Linked DNA regions of Tribolium castaneum. The protein of the gene in region 1 binds, or shares a complex with, the protein of each later gene. Links are inferred from orthologs where the notes say so. Each region holds a gene or a part of one and is shown in the gene's direction. Other genes may lie near its edges.

Region 1 (3,763 bases):
TGAAGTACTTTGCAGTTAATTCATAAGTTAATTAGGGTATTTACAAGGTATATTGATGCTTCCAGGAATTGTTCCAGTTTGCGCTAATTCCGACGGGTTCCTCACATCAATTAGAAGAACCTGTCTGTTGTCTTTTAGGCTTCTAACGTAGTCAAAAGTTACTTCGTCTGACATTCTGTGGCTTATATTTAACGTTTGTGAGAATTGGGATAGAGGGCGCTCGAGTGACTGGCAATTTTTTATCGGATTGAAATGAATTCTATGCACAAGTGAATGAGCCCTTATGTGCTGTTTCAATCCAATAAAAAAGCCCAGTTGCTACAAAACGTCGTGATTGTTCAAATATGTGAGAAATTTGAAGCTGAGAATATTGATTTGAAGTCAATTTTACTTTTTACGGTTGGTAGAAGCTGTCGTTATTTTATAATTTAAATCAATGACTCACCACATTATAAATAATTCAATCGTATTGTAATAGTATTGATTGTATGGAAATAAATAAGATTAATTAATTTTTAAGAGATGATTACGGAGAACCATAAGTTAGGAGATGAAACGAGATACAAAATCGCAGGATTTCTTGAACCGAAAAATGTAAAAGTAAAAATGTTTTTTTTATTTTGCTTTTTAATAATGATTTTGAGTTAAAAATTAATTTTTAGTCACGACTTTAATGAAGGAAGAAGCCATGTAATTTTTTCAAACGTTAAGGTACATCTTTTTGTTAGACACACTTTTTTTATTAAAAATTTGCTGATTATATTATATTATATATATTATATATATTATATTCAAAGTGATGCTCGAAAAATCATCTATTTAGGTCAAAAATGACGTTATTTTTGCATTTTTTCGAATATCTAAATACATTTTTTACTTAAAAAACTCATTTTTTTGTGCCAAAATTTAGTTAAAAAAAGTTATTTTTGTTTTTATTGTTCAAGGTTTGGCCACGTTATTCAGCAATGTTTTCTGACAAAAATACTCAAATTTTTTTTTTTTTATTTTGTTCAAACTGGTAGTTTGATGGAAGAAAAACTACGTTACTTTTGCATTTTTTGAGCGGTTAAGTACAGTTCTGATTTAAAAGACTCTGTTTTTGCAAAATTTTGTTAAAACTATCTCAAAAATTTATAAGTGGACAGTGACTGTGTCAGTGAATGAGCACTGCCAACCAGTACACTTAAAAAAACTAGCTTTGACACCAGCCTAATAATTTATCACTTGCTTCTGATAAAAAAACTGAAATGATTTTAAATAAGGTAACTGGGGGCGCCCAAAGTGGCCCTCCAATGGAATGAATTTCCATAGGCGTGCGTGCTAGCCCCGTTAAATTGACGTTCCCTCTCCAGTTGTCGTACCAACCTAGCGACCAAAAAGTGTGACAAAATGTCATCAAATTGAGGAAAATCGCGGTTTTTTCGTTAAAAATCCGCCGAACCGGTTTCTGTAATCGATCAATCACGTTATTCCCTCCCAGGAATTGTGATTCCCCCGTAAAATCAGCGAACTCCAGTCAATATATCCCGAAATCTCGCGGAGAAATCCCTGATGACTCGCCACATTACGTCATCACAAAAATGAAATGGTGGTTGTATCGGTCGGGCGTTGTAAATTAAATCCAAAGGAAACGTAAAAAGTCGTTCGAAAAACTCATTAATTCCACGTAAATTAAGTGCAATTTGTCGTCTCGTGTAATTTGTACATTCATAGGTAAGTGTTGTTGGCACTTGCCACAAAAGGGGCTGTCCAAGTACGGCGAATCCGTTTATCCACTCCCATCGCCAAGAACGCGACCTAAACCTTCTTGACCTTTCATCTCGGGGGTTTTTCGATCGCGAGCCGGCGATTTGGCGCTGTGACAGTCCGTTTTTTCCAGGATTTAAGCCATGTCGGACCGCAAAGCCGAACTGGAGAGGAAGAAGGCCCGGCTCCAGGCGCTGAGGGAGGAGAAGGACCGCCGGCGCCGGGAGAAGGAACTCAAGGATGTGGAGGAGGCGGCCAACAGGGTGATTTTGGGGACGGAAGGAGACAGGAAGGAGTTGGATGAAATGCTCAGCTCGTTGGGGGTTGCCCCCGTTTCGGATATTTTGTCGAGTATTTCGAGCGCGAACTCGCTCACGCCCGACCACAGCCACAATCACACCCCGGACACGTCCCTCCTGCCCCACAGTTCACCCAACAAGTAGGTTTTACAAAAAAAAAAAAAAAAAACTTTCGAACGAAAGATACCAGAAAAAAGATAAACAAAGCAGGACCGTATAATATTTTTTTTTATTTATTAGTATTTAATCTGAGACGTGGTAAAGAACTTTCATGCGCTCAATAAATTAACTTTCTGATTAAGGTGGCCTGTGACTTTTAAATTAAGTTGGCAACTCTAAATAAAAAATTCTTGACCGAAACAATTGTTTATGATATAAGTATATGACACAAAAATATTGTAAATGCTGATTTGTTTCAGATAAGTCAATGTCTTTACCTTAAATTTGATTTCATTTCACCCAACTATTTTCATAAAAATAAAAAAATCATAAAAATTGCAGCACCAGGAAGGAATTAGAATTAGCGAGTAATAAATTTGAACGATTTTAATCAAGTGGTAAGGGAGTTTTTAATATTGAAGTTCTTTTACCAGCAAGTGTTATTCTTAGAATTTTATGCTTTTCTGACGATTTTTTTTGTGTTTTTTTTTAAATTCGTTTAGGTTTAAGTGTTCTAAAAGCGCAAGTAGGCCTGGAGACGACAAAACCAAAATTACTAACAATTTAAGCAGTTTTGAAGGAGGCATGATTTTTGGACTTCAAATAGGGGTTTTTCAATTAGAGAAATTGCTAGTCTTTTGGATAGAAATCGAAGTATCATTAAGCAGTGTTATCAGTCATAGACTGTAGAAAGCCCAGGACAGCGCAAAAGAGAAAGCAACCTTAAAAAAAACAAATGAAGTCCAAAATGGTCATGGCTATAATTTAATTACAAGACAAAATTTTGCCCAATGGGTGGGTTTAAAGGTCGTTTTTTATCACTTTGGACTGTTTACCATCGAAATGGGTCATTTGGACTGTTTCCTGTTGGATTTACTTGGTATGGGAGGAATGGGCAAAAACCTATATCTAAGCCTGACTCATGAAACTTTTATTTCGAAACACAACGCGTTTTGACCATAATGCGGTCAATGCATATAGTGTATATTTTCACCTGAGGATGACCACTTTGTGGTTGAAACACGTTGTCTTTCCAAAAAAAAGTTTTGGTGTGTCTGGTTTAAGCTGATTTTGCTCATTCCTCCCATACTTAGAAAATCCAACAAAAAGTAGTCCAAATGACCTAATTCGATGGTAAACACTCAGAAGTGAAGTACAACGACCTTCAAACTCAACCATTGGTCAGAAATTTTTCTTGTACTTGAATTATTGCCATAATCCGAAGATGACCACTTTGGACTTCATTTGTTTTTTTAAGTCTGTTTTCTCTTTTGCTTTGTCCTGAACCTTCTCTAATCAATGACTGATAACATCGCATAATGATTCTTGGATTACTCTTCAAACAAATAGCGATTTCTCTAAATAAAAAAACACCTATTCGTTTCCCAAAAATTGTGCTTTTTAAAGTTTGTCTATTTGTTGTTAATTTTTTTTTGACGAATTCTAGGCATATTTTCGTTTTCATAACACTTAAAACTAAACGAATTTAAAAAAAATCACTACAAAAATGGTCAGAAAAGCAAAAAATTGAAAGAACAACACTTGCTGGTAAAAGAGTT
Region 2 (2,284 bases), on another chromosome or scaffold:
TTGTCAGAAATATATTCTATACATGCTCTCCTCACGTTGTGCTTGCCCAACCTGTCGAACTACCAACATCCTGAATGTGACTCTTGACTGCCTCATCCAAAATACTTTTAATGTCTTTACACCCTTGTAAAGCCTTGTCTAAAACCTTCTGTAAGTGGTCCACATGAAACCTCTGTGACATTTCCATCAAGACAATCTTCCCCGACATTGGTAACGCTGCCACTGTCAACGTGGGCCCCCCTATTATCTCTTCCTGGTGCGAAACATCAAGTAGCGGCACATCATTATTTGCCAAACTTGCAGTACACGCACAGACATATTCCTTTAACGGAATCCCCGCATCAATCAGTGCCAAAGTGGCGGCGTTCACACAAGCCGGATAAATGCCCCCATCTGCATGCAGCACCTCAACATAAACATCAATCTGGGTCCAGGGATACAACTCGACTTTGATCGCCGCAGTTAAAGCCTGCCTCAAGTGAATGGAGATTTCAGTCGACTTGCGGTCCCCCCGGGGCCGCTTCTTCCTCTCCCCTGTTGAAAACACAGCCATGCTAAACTGGCAGTTGACCACAGCCGAGTCATGTTGCGCTTTGCTGCGACTGCCGCGGACCTAAAGTTCAGCATGAAATTTTATCATAATTAAAGACGCAAAACCAACCTGGTGGGGCCCATACACAGCCGCCAGAACTTTAGTCAAGCCCTGCTCCAAATAGGCGCTACCGTCGGGTTCAGTGAACACGCCCAGCTTGCAGCGGATCCTCCGTAACTCGTCGGCGCGTCTTCCGTCCTGTCTTAAGCCGATTTTTGATAATAATTCGCGATTTTTGCTCATTCTGATGTTTAAAAGTGAGGTTAAAAAATTATTTAAATGTAACGTTGGCGATCCTGACCTCGGAAAAGGCGAGATTATGGGCAGTTGAGAATGTCGGCTTTCGAGAATTTTTTAAGAATAACTCCTGCCGATAACTAAATTTCTTTCGAAATTGTTAAAAAATGATTCCATATTTGTGTTGTTTGATTGAAGGAGTCAAACTACCAAGGTTGGCAATTTTAAGGATATTTACCTGTGCATCAAAAAATTAAATTTAATAATGGAATGTTGGCGACAGTGGTCACGTGGGGCTGTTGTCATGTTAACAGTTATTTGATAGCTGTCACTTTTGTGCAAAAAATTCCAATAAATAATTTAGCCAAATAAATACAAAATGGTAAGTACAATGCAAATTGTAGAAGAATACGGGTTTAGAGTTATGTTTGCAGTCGAACGAAGTGGAGGAAACGATGAAACGGATCCAATCCCACAAGGGCGTAATCGGTACAATAGTGGTCAATTCCGAAGGTGATAAGCTCATAGTTTGGCTGTGAGGGCCTTAGAAACTTGAATTTTAGGGATTCCGATTAAAACCACCTTGGATAATACTACAACAGTCCAATACGCTGGACTTATAAGTTCGTTGGCTGATAAAGCAAGGAGTGTGGTTAGAGATTTAGACCCTTCAAACGATTTAACGTTTTTACGGATAAGGTCAAAGAAACACGAAATTATGGTGGCTCCTGATAAAGAATTTATATTGATTGTCGTTCAAAGTCCCACAGATTAGTGTTATTGCCTGTTTTGTGTCATTATGCACTGCTAATTTATTGTACGTTTCGTGCTTTTTGTCGTTTAAATTTTTATATGCTTATTCACAAATAAACTCTAACTCAAATGTTTGAAATTTATTTAATCTTGCGCCCCAGAATGATTCACAAATTTAGAAACTTTCTTGTTCCGCTATTGGCGACATTGCGCGATTTACTAGTGACATTTTTATTATCGTAGCAATTTTTTTATAAACACTAGTGGTTATTCTTTACGAAACCTACATTAATTATCAGTCCCTTCCAATTACATAATATTTCCACAAGAGGTTGTTTCAGGATTTTGAAAAAATTGTTGCATAATAAAGTGAGGTTATATTGTAGAGATGGGGGGACACGGCCATGGGCACGGACACGAACCTTACACAATCCCTGATTACAAAATCTACAAAGTTGAGGATATTCCCGAATTAATGAACACCAAAAGGGCGTTAGCTTGTCAAGGTCTGAAGGACCCTTGGCTTCGCAACGAAGTCTGGCGCTACAACCCTAAGGAATTTGGCACGGAAAAATCTAGATTTCGACTTTTCTTCTATAGAGGGTTCAGAACCGGCTTTGCCGCCTTCCTTATAACCATTGCTGGTACTGCCATTTACGACAAAATGTACCCCTCTGAGCACGGCCACCACGGCGATCATTA

What was found. The genes of interacting proteins can lie anywhere in the genome.
Region 2: the proteins of sw (region 1) and robl are in contact, whole or in part, in a crystal structure (PDB 3L9K), measured with the Drosophila melanogaster proteins. The link is inferred for Tribolium castaneum from reciprocal best matches to the Drosophila melanogaster genes sw and robl. Residues at the interface, in NP_477075.2 of Drosophila melanogaster: Leu242, Lys247, Ile250, Ile251, Leu252, Asn255, Phe256, Gln257, Phe259, Val260, Val261, Arg262, Ala263, Gly264, Val266, Ile267, Glu268, Ala270, Leu271, Ser272, Glu273, Asn274, Val275, Asp276, Ile277; in NP_523771.1 of Drosophila melanogaster: Glu4, Val5, Glu6, Thr8, Leu9, Arg11, Ile12, His15, Lys16, Val18, Val23, Ile29, Pro30, Val31, Phe69, Arg71, Arg73, Glu78, Met80, Ala82, Asp84, Asp86, Phe87, Ile88, Leu89, Val91, Gln93, Asn94, Pro95, Thr96.

Annotation. Positions count from the first base shown.
Region 1 is NC_087400.1:4,950,527-4,954,289, reverse strand, and holds the start of sw (cytoplasmic dynein 1 intermediate chain), read left to right. Parts: upstream 1-1,346; 5' UTR 1,347-1,713; intron 1,714-1,879; 5' UTR 1,880-1,889; coding exon 1,890-2,185; intron 2,186-3,763. UniProt on the Drosophila melanogaster protein: Acts as one of several non-catalytic accessory components of the cytoplasmic dynein 1 complex that are thought to be involved in linking dynein to cargos and to adapter proteins that regulate dynein function.
Region 2 is NC_087396.1:13,483,667-13,485,950, reverse strand, and holds robl (dynein light chain roadblock-type 2), read left to right. Parts: upstream 1-1,063; 5' UTR 1,064-1,208; coding exon 1,209-1,211; intron 1,212-1,263; coding exon 1,264-1,342; intron 1,343-1,392; coding exon 1,393-1,604; 3' UTR 1,605-1,712; downstream 1,713-2,284. Other genes in the region: Ski6 (exosome complex component RRP41), read right to left, coding at 32-613, 662-835; ND-B12 (NADH dehydrogenase [ubiquinone] 1 beta subcomplex subunit 3), read left to right, coding at 1,971-2,284.